Linked DNA regions of Drosophila melanogaster. The protein of the gene in region 1 interacts with the protein of each later gene in a pairwise test. Each region holds a gene or a part of one and is shown in the gene's direction. Other genes may lie near its edges.

The links. Proteins that work in one complex are often made in the same cells at the same time.
Region 2: the proteins of CG17698 (region 1) and INPP5E interact in a two-hybrid assay, tested with the Drosophila melanogaster proteins (one large-scale study listed by BioGRID).

What each region holds. Positions count from the first base shown.
Region 1 is NT_037436.4:23,736,102-23,740,996, forward strand, and holds the start of CG17698 (uncharacterized protein), read left to right. Parts: upstream 1-1,858; 5' UTR 1,859-2,083; intron 2,084-4,059; 5' UTR 4,060-4,110; coding exon 4,111-4,895.
Region 2 is NT_037436.4:12,275,713-12,281,976, forward strand, and holds INPP5E (inositol polyphosphate 5-phosphatase E), read left to right. Parts: upstream 1-1,942; 5' UTR 1,943-2,024; intron 2,025-2,513; 5' UTR 2,514-2,571; intron 2,572-2,641; 5' UTR 2,642-2,947; coding exon 2,948-4,167; intron 4,168-4,236; coding exon 4,237-5,151; intron 5,152-5,212; coding exon 5,213-5,321; 3' UTR 5,322-5,764; downstream 5,765-6,264. Other genes in the region: Sms (spermine synthase), read right to left, coding at 1,178-1,462.

The sequences.
Region 1 (4,895 bases):
GAGCATGTTTGCAAATTCCTACGCCAAGGCCGTAAAGGACCGAGTGCAAACATCTGGAAACGGCAAGAGCAGCTTCCACTGTAGGCAAGGTAAAGCCAGCAAGGATGAGCAGGGCCAAGACAGGAATCCACATTTTGTCAGGAGAACTTTGAGAACCAATAATGACAACCAGGTCCAAGCACCCCAACTCGTCCTCCAGGTTTAGGCAGCGCACTAAACACAATAAGAACCACCCAAATTATTCGAATGCTCCTAAGAGAAGACATTCCTCGGACCGTTCGATAGGTCAAAGACGTCAACGTCTTAATTACGTTGTCCAAGAAACCTCCAAGACTAAAGACCCTAAGACCCCAAGCAGAAATACGAACAGGCAGCAAGGGCTTCAGTCGAAGAGATCGCTGAGTACGCTCCTAGCGACGACTCACTAAATTTTTTTGGGGACTCTCCCGGTTGCCGTTCATTGAACGACGGTTGCGTGGGAGAACTTTAAGAATGCTAATCGACTCCGACGCGGTAAAAAAATTACATTAAGCCCGTAAAGGAGCTAAAAAATGTAATGCCTGTCGCCCGCTCTCGGTAAGTTCAATACATGGCTCCATATTAAACAAAAGTGCTTAATGAAGGTTTTCAAGCACACCTCTCAATTTTGTCTATTGAAATCACTCAACTCGTTCGACGCTCTTATAGGCTTGGACACGGGCCGGAGTAAAGTTTAACCTAGCAGAATATTAGGGCGTTTATGAAAAACTTTACTATTTCATCTGCCCTAGCGCAAACTTAACTAATGTGAATGACATTGTTGTACCTGCCTCTATTAAATAGGAGTTCAAGAACACAATTTTGAGAGAAAAAAGCCCTTATCTACTTCAAATGACACCGCTGGTACATATATACATATATACATATATACATATATACATATATACATATATACATATATACATATATACATATATACATATATACATATATACATATATACATATATACATATATACATATATACATATATACATATATACATATATACATATATACATATATACATATATACATATATACATATATACATATATACATATATACATATATACATATATATATACATATATACATATATACATATATACATATATACATATATACATATATACATATATACATATATACATATATACATATATACATATATACATATATACATATATACATATATACATATATACATATATACATATATACATATATACATATATACATATATACATATATACATATATACATATATACATATATACATATATACATATATACATATATACATATATACATATATACATATATACATATATACATATATACATATATACATATATACATATATACATATATACATATATACATATATACATATATACATATATACATATATACATATATACATATATACATATATACATATATACATATATACATATATACATATATACATATATACATATATACATATATACATATATACATATATACATATATACATATATACATATATACATATATACATATATACATATATACATATATACATATATACATATATACATATATACATATATACATATATACATATATACATATATACATATATACATATATACATATATACATATATACATATATACATATATACATATATACATATATACATATATACATATATACATATATACATATATACATATATACATATATACATATATACATATATACATATATACATGGTGGTTATATAATATAATAATATAATATATAATATATTAGGAATATTATTATTCCAGCTATCGACTTAGTTATCGATACGACTAAGAGCTTTTAAAGCTGCAATGGGAAACTTTTAATTCGTCTTTTATTTAAAGCTTAGATGTTTTTCCTCCAGTTAGTAATTTTTATATAATGTTCTCTATTGGTGTAGTTGTGATTATGAAGTTAAATGAAGAACGAATTAAAGGGAGATGTAACCGAAATGCAGATGCCATCTGTATATTGGCGCAATAATGACGTAACTGGTTTATAAATACAATCGGTGTGTAACAAGAATTGTTGTAGTCTACTAAAATTATTTGTAGGAGTTTTACATACATATGTTTGTACGTACATATGTGCATAAATAGAAAAAGCACAAAAATTACTCAGTAAAATTCATTTAATATAAAATGTCATTTAAAGTATATTGTATAAATTATATGTACATAGTTACACATAGTACACACATACATACATAGTTACTGCACAAACGTTTGCACATGCACACATATATACATACATACATATGTCTATAAAGTGCACATGTGGACATTATTAAGTAAAATCTGAAAATTTAATAAATTCAAACGAACATTTCAAAGTGCATACACGGCAGATTCACTTTTCCTGGGATATTTAACCAGTGCCATAGCTCTTAAAGAAATAGTTCTAGTGTATGTACATATGACCATGTCCGTCTGTCAGTTTTTGGTTCGCATGGACGATCAGATTTCAAGACTGTGAAACCTACAGAAAGTAAAGATTGGGATTTAGAGTCATATGAATTAGATCCAGCCGTTTGTTTCAGATTGACATATGCCCACAAACAGGCCGAATTTTGAATTATCAGATTCCCGTTACTCAGCTAGTGTGATTGCGAACGCGAAATTTAAAAATTTTTCTGCGATAGCAAAAGATATTGTTGAATAAAATGCTTTTGAACAAAGCGATAGAAACATACAAGATTTTAATGTTTGAAAAATGTGGGTGTGGCAGTTTTGGACAGTTTTAGGGCGTTAGAAACATAGTTCATCATTCTAGCTTTTATAGTTCCTGAGATCTCGAAGTTCATACGTTCAGATGGACATGGCAAGGTCGATTCCGCTATTGATCCTGATCAAGAATATATATACTTTATATCGTGGGAAAAGATTCCTTCTAGTATAGTTTTACTCTACGAATAACGGGAGCCTATGCTAATAGACTTTTGCGTATATAAGATGATGTGCATATGATGACAAATGAGACAACATTGATAAGATCTCCTAAATATTTTGGTACATAAATAAGAACTGTAGTTCAATAAGGAATGATCATTTTTAGTTACTCGTCATGTCCTATGGAATTGGGAGTATCTTTTAGTTTAGTGTAAATATGGGACCACACGTCCAATTAACCGTAAAGTAAAAAAAATTTCATTTATTTTCCTTTGGCTCATACCTTTTTACTAATTTTATTGTTATCATGTTCTGTGTCGCATCACAAATGTAAAGTTTCTTTTGATTTTTTGCCGACTTAGATAGTCGGTTATCAGATGCCCATTAGTCAGTTAGTGGGAGTGCGAACGAGAAGGTTCAACATTCTTTTTGGCATATCAATAGAAAAAAATAGAAAAAAGCAAAAAAAAAAAAAAATTAATATACAAAAATTCAATTGCGTGGATGATGGTCTTTAGGGCGGATTGTGGAATTTAAAATGCGCGTGTCAAAAAAATGTTTTGCATACCGCTATAAATTTGCAAGACAAATAATAAAGTTACACAATTAATAAAAATTAATTTAACCGTATGTGTCTATTATGTGCCGCATCTGTATTTTATTATAACGAAACGAAAACAAGAGATAATTCTAGAGTCGAGTTCGCCGACTCAATGTCCGTCTGTCCGTATAAACGCCTTGATCTAAGAAACTTTAAAAGCTAGAGTTGAGATTAAGCATGCAGTTATCAGAGTCATAAACGCACATATTTGTTTGCAAATATTGCTACGTCCATTCTAGCCCACACTTACTTTAAAAAGTGTCAGTGAAATGTTACATGATTAAATGTATATTTCAATATACTTTTATAAAAGACCAGTGCTTGATTATGTATAATCTTGATTGTTATAATCAATCCGCCTAAGAAGGTCTTTAGTTATAGTTTACTATTTACGGAGTTGTTTGAAGGATTTTGTGTTTCGAACAAAAGTATTAGTATTTAATGCAGCATTTGATCAAACTGATATATAAAATTGATAAATTGGTTTTCTGTTTGCAGGATTTTATCACGTACAACATCAAAACAATTATATTACACTAATAAAAAAAAATGGATTTAACAGATCCATTATTAATTACAAAGTCTCAGCAAGTCAACAGCCAAGAAGTTGATTTTCAGAAAAAAACTGAGGATACATTTCCTTCAAAGTTTCATAAAAATAAAGCTAGTTGTGGACTTTTGGCTGTTAATGAAAGTCGCTGTACAGACCATCAATTACAATGTGAAAACAATATCGTGGGGTTGTCATTAGAAACTCAAATTGCAGAAAATTCTTCAATAAATGTTTCGAGAGAACTTAAACCTCACGATCACACTTTTCCGAAAGATAAACAAACTTTTAAACAAATATCAGATGAATTAAGGAAGTCATATGAAAATATTAATAAAGTTCAGAATATTAAAAAATCCCAGTCTGTAGAAAATTTTGAAAAATGTTCTGAAATAAATTTAGCCAATAAATGTTTATATACAAATTTAAATACAAGTCCTAAGGAAAGAAATGCCTTGGATAAGCAAGCAATGTTTATTAAATTTCATTCTCTGGAATTGTGCACTGATAAAGTATGTAGTCTACACATACATGAAAACTTTTGTACTGATATCCATAAATGCGTAGTCGATTCCGAATCGAATAAGCCAAACAAAATGAAAAAGTGCTTAGATTATGAAAGCGTTAAAAGGTATCCTTGTAAAGTTTCTAATGAACCACCTCAACATAATACGGCATCAAAACCTCAAATCTTATATGAGACTCGTCCTATCTACCCGAATGTACCGTATAGCCCTTATAGTACTCCTTTCAGTAGTCCTCGATCTAGTCGACGGAAACCAGC
Region 2 (6,264 bases), about 11 Mb from region 1:
AAGATATAGCATTTCAAATGATACGAGGAAATAATAATGGGTCTGATAATATTAGTTACTCCTATAGAAAAGTTGGTTTAGGTTGATTTCTTTGTTCGATTACTTGATTAAATTATTTATAAAGTACAAAGGTTTGTTGAGATTATATCCTAACTAACTCCATCATTGTATAAAAATATAATTTTATAAAAATTTTACTTGGGATTTTGTTAAAGCTATAGTTATAGAACAAAACAATTTTAGACTTTTTGACATAATTTAATTTTTTTGATGCTATTTAGCTTACCGTAGCTGTAGGCATATGTACATGGGACATTTTCTCTAGCATTTTAGATGTACTTAAACAAATGATGGAAGAAATTGAAATATTCTATCAAATTTTATATTCTTTGTTGTTTTACAAACAAATACTGGTTGTCATTTTGAAAACCCTCAGATTTGTGGTATCAACAGTCATTTTGTTGACTTAGGTTTGTTTATATGTGCATGCGTAAGTAGAGTAAACTGGTATAAGAAAGTTTAAGTATCAAATGAAATAATGCGTGCCTAAGGGTGTAACCTGAAATCTGGTTTCTGTAATAAGGGCCGCATATTCCGGGTGTTTTTCTTCTTATTAGTATGGGTACCATGCCCCAAAGGGGCGCCAATCAATAGATCGCGAGTCGAACCCAACCCACGTGCTCCGGCCAAATGTGAAAAGCATAGAAACGGGACCGGAACGACAAGTTAACCTAGCAAAGCCCAGCTGAAATCGCTATGTATGTGATGTGTGCTTCAGAGGTGTTAGATAATAGAAACTGGTGAAAGTGCTGGGATGGGGGCAGCCATCACTTGAGGCCAAGGACGGACGAACTGACCCTGACCAAGTGCCGGCCATTTGAGCTCGCCGAGTGGTCAGGAACACACTCACACACACAACCAATCAACCCACCCACATGGTTGCCCACTTGCCATGCACACACCCCCACATGTATGTATGATGAAGCAACAACACTCGGGTACAAGTGCGCGGAAAATCAATTTTACCCGGTGGGTGGAAAACCCTTTCCCCAACTAATCAGCCGAGACACGGAAACTGGGAGGGTAAGAAAGATGTGGGTGGTGGTGCTGCTGTCGGGTGTTTGCTTGCTTGTTTTTTGAGTTTTTTAAAGGAATCTAAATTGCACTGAATACGTACGTCGAAGGATATGCTCGGCTCCTTGCCATCGGGCAGGAAGTACTCCACGTTGAGCGTCAGCAGGCCGTGCTGGAAGATGCGGCAGGTAATCACCGTGTCCTTGTTCTCGTGCAGCACCGCAAAGTAGCCGTTTTCCGGCGACTCCATCGAGTAGGCCAGCTCCAGCTGGGGGAACAGCTGCTCCAGCTCGTTACGCAGGATTTTGGCCACCTGGAGGCGCGCCTCCTCATCCGCCGTCTTGTCCTTGTCCAGCGTGAAATCAAACAGTATCGTCTGGGCCGCCATCGTGCTTAACTTGCGCTAATCCGTTGAACAAAAACGCTGAACCGCGTACCGACCGAAACGAAATACTAGTGATGCGCCTTACGAGCACCGATAGCAAGTCGATTTCGATTGCACTTCTAGTGTGGCTGTATAATACAGTTAATTAAACCTTATTATTTTTTTTAATATAAGAAACGGTTTATTAAATAATTGTAAAAAATAATAAAGTACATTTAATAATAATGTTATAAATTCCTCTTAATAAATTTTTGAAGGGTACTTGGCCCACAATTTTGTATTGAATATATAGCGCTTTGTTATGTATGTTTACCTAATAAATATTACATTGGTACGTTTTGCTGGAAACACAATTAAATACAAATCTTAATTAATATTTAAGAAATATTTCTTTAAATCTATCGTGTCACAACCCAGCCACTGAAACACCCCCGCCCGCACCTATCGATACGTGCTCCCACTTATCGGCAGTTGGCTGCCCACTTTTGCCACCCCTAAATCGCAGTTCCCACGACAAGTTCCGCACTTGCTCGGAGTTTTTGGGTGTAAACAACATTGGAACGCGGTAAATCATACAAAAATTACATAAATCGCATAGGTGACAGCAGCGTGGAAGGGTAGTGCGTACCAGTGCGGAACATGAAAAGCACACCAAGAGCGAAATCAATGCGCACCTGAACCTGAACTTGAATATCGCATGTGTGCTATGTGCTATTGTTGCTGCTTTTATGCTAGACGTAGGCCAACAACACAAGAACAACAAGGCTGCGCTGACGGGAACAATGGTCTGCTAATTATAAATCTCTCGATCCCAGAGAATCGAATCAGCCAGCAGACGACGGATATTGTGCTTGTGTTCAGACGTTCAGATGCTGAGTGCTCAGTGCTTGGATGCGTGGGCGCCGCAGCATGCCAATGTTGTTACGTCGTCGCCAAAGACCACCCTTCCGCGACCAACCACCCCCCAAATCGCCCACAATCCTCCCCATTTTATATATCGCGACGGTGTCGCCACAGTTATTACCCAGCATATTGATTTTCTGAATCCTTTCAGCTCTCTCGCCCCAAAGGATCTGCCCACATATGTGTTTTTTTTATTTAGTTGCTTGCAGGTTAGTAAGTGTATTATACCCTTGGTATTACCAACCCGCCTAAATGTTTACCTTCATTAAAATCTTACAGAACAGCACACGCAATCGCCGCCAGTCAGCCCAATTAGCCTGATTTCGTGTACGTCATCGCCGAGCCCAAAATAATTTGCATTGCGACCAGCCAGAACGCCGGACCAAAGTCGCATTTGCATTGTGCTCGCTCGATGACGTCTGGCTTTACTATTTATATGGCCGGCAGCCAGAGGCCATCGCACAATGAGCTCGGTTCGAGAGATCCGGCAGATAGAGCGAATTAACTTGACAAAAGGGGGGCATGATAACCACTTAGCACCTTCACCTTAGATGATAGAATCATTTCGTTCGGACTAAAGCCAACATGCAGCACAGCAGCGCGGGAAGTGAGGAACGGATAACCAGTTCCACCAGCAGTCCCAGATCCGGTCACAAGACCGCGAGCTCCCTGTTCGGTTTGCTGAGCAAGCGACCTAGTAAGGTGGAGCCACATCCCGTGACACCCGAATCGCCAAGATTACAACAGAGACCCGTGTCCGCCTGTGGCCAATACGATGTCAGTTTCGCCAAGTGCAATGCAGATACGTCTGCAAACCATGTCAATAACAATGGGAGCACCCTCAAAAGCCAAACGCTGCCGCTGGAGAAGTCGCACAGCGGGCTGATCAGCTTCCACAGGCGTGCAAAGCCAAGTTCCTCGAAAGGAAAGAATCACTCGCACCGGCACAGTACGGATGCTGGTTCCCAAAGCGATGGAGGAGCCGACGTGGTGATGCGGCGCAAGTCGCCCAAGCATCGCTCACCCAATCACAATAGATTTAGTCACCAGTTCAGTCTGTGCTGCAAGGCGGAAAAGAAACCGATGACACCGCCGGTGACCGTGCGTTATAACTCCATACCGGATAGCAACAGTGTTCTGCGGCGCGATAACCTCTCGCTAAGTTGGAGCATGGTGGACAACAACTCGGGCTCGCTGCACTCCAGCGAAGGATCCTCACACCGACCGCGTCCGTCCAGTGAGTGTGCCAGTGCGCCAGAATCACCGGTGGCCAGCAAAACCTTCTTTGCCCACTGCAGCCCTGCTGCGGCCAGCGCTTCGGTGGCACGGAGCGAAAGCCTTCAAAATCGCTCGCCCATTCGACCCATGGCAGTATCAGCCTGCCGATCCCGACTGCGTTTAAAGCTCTATCCACCTGGACAAGAGTTACCCCCTCTTCAGGCAGCCACAGAACCTGGTGACATTAAAAGAGCCACCACACCACAGCACATGTCCTCGCCGAATATAGCCACTCAGCCAGATGGAATAGAACACATAGAGGAGCAGCCAGGCGTGAGGTTTATGTCGCACGAGAACATGACACTCCAAAGACAGGGTTCGGGATCTAATCTGGCTCGCCAGACTTTAATGGCGGCACATGCATTGAATCTGATCCCGGCGGATAACGCCAGGGAGCGAAGTTACCTGGATGGCAGGCTGGGATCAACTTCCCTTTTGGGTCCCAGTGAGCTAAGCCGCGTGCTGCCGCAAAAGGAGATTACCGTCTTTGTGGGAACTTGGAATATGAATGGCCACAGTCCACCCAAGTATGTAAATTTAATAAATTAAGTCTAAAAGCTTATGAGTTCATATCTCAATTATTCTTTTTATTGCAGACAACTTAATGATTTTGTGCTGCCAGCCAATGTGGAGCACGTGCCCGACATTGTGGTAATGGGCACACAGGAGTCCACCCCAGACCGCTTCGAGTGGGAGGTCACCATTCAGGAGACCCTAGGTCCCTCTCACGTGCTCTTCCATGCCACAACTCTGGGTACCCTCCACCTGGCTGTGTATATGCGACGGGACTTGATCTGGTACTGCTCCGTTCCCGAGGACGCATCTATGTCGGTGCGCACGGGCTCCGCCTTTCGGACAAAGGGTGCCGTGGCCATATCCTTTTGCCTGTTTGGCACTTCCATGCTGTTTGTGACCTCGCATTTAACGGCGCACCAGCAGAAGGTTAAAGAGCGTGTGTCGGACGTTAAGCGGATAATCAATGCTCTGGACTTGCCTCGCAATTTGCCCAATCAGCGGCATAAGAACAAAGATGTCACGCAGAACTTTGACAATGTCTTCTGGTGCGGCGATCTTAACTTTCGACTGGGTGAGCCGCGTGAAAAGCTGCTGGAATGGATTCAGAACACCAAGTTCCCGCTGCCGTCGCATTTACCGCACGGTTACATGCACACGGATCAGTTGACTTCCGTTCTGGCTGATGGCGCCGCCTTCCGAGGATTTATGGAGGCGAACATCACATTTCCACCCACGTACAAGTACGATCCGGGCAGCCAGAACTTTGATACCTCGTCGAAGCAGCGAGCTCCCGCCTACACGGATCGCATTCTCTACAAGTACCGCCAAATGCAGGGACTAGTCATCCGTCGGCAGACCCTAGTGCCTGGTGTATCCACACCCACGCAGCCGCATGTCCAATGTCTGCTCTATGACTCGGTGCCATCGATAACCACCTCGGACCACAAGCCAGTTTGGGCGCTTTTTCGAACACTCATACGTGCAGGAACCGATGCGTGAGTAATTGGAATTATTACAAAGAAAATAGGATTCTAATGAACTTTCCTTTTTCTTCAGAATTCCCTTGGCTGCTGGGCTCTTCAGTCGCGACATTTATCTGGAGGGAATGCGTCGACGCTTGAATAACCAATATAGCGGCGCCTCCGCCGTTTGTGTGTTGCAGTAAACTACTGAGATGCTAACCAAAGCTAGGCTTCCTAATGGCCGCCTACCCACGTTGAAATCTATTTAGTCATTTACTCGAATCTCAAAGTGCTAGTCAAAGCTTTCCTACGGTTGTGCGACGCCTTTGTATTAACCCGATTAGATTGTTATCCAGTGCGCTGTCGGATATCGAAGTAACGATATAACCATTACTTACCCTGCAATGCTGCGGTAGATCTTAGGCGCTGCCTTTCGCCTCGAGGCCTTAGTCGTAATACGTTCCTTATGAGATTATCTAATACATACTCGTGCAACAATTCTGTACCTCTACTCTGAAGCACAAGCTTAGTTCGTAGATAAACTAAATCTGATAGTTAAAGTTTAGTCAAATATTGAAATGAAATCGAAATATGAATTACTTTGAATGTGTAATGTTAACTAGCAGTAAATATATTTTATGCATCTAAAGGAAGAGCTTTATTAATTGTTGAAATACTCATTATTATTTATTGTTAGTCTTATTGTTTATTATTATTATTATTATTATTATTATTTATTATTACTATTATTATTTAGTTTTTATAAGAGTTATTGTTGAATTATGTATAGTGAAGTTGATTACTTTTATAATTTGAAACCCAAATGAAGTTTTTAACTTTATTCAAGTAAGCGCCAATTTTTTGTTTACTTTTATTAAACGATTAAACGCTTGAGCTGCCCGTTTGCGTACTTAAATTCCAAAATTCCAAAATTGCTGGGAGCAGGCCACTCGACAAAAACAAAAGCGTATATGCTGCGGGGTCGTTTATTCCCCGAAAATGCGCCAAAAACGACCGGAACGACCAACTGCTCTACCCCCCCATCATACCCGTGCGCCACTTGGACACACACACGCAAATATGTTAAACTTTTGACCAATTTCAACTTGAGTTGGTTGCCATCGGACACACTCCGGGGGCAGCAAT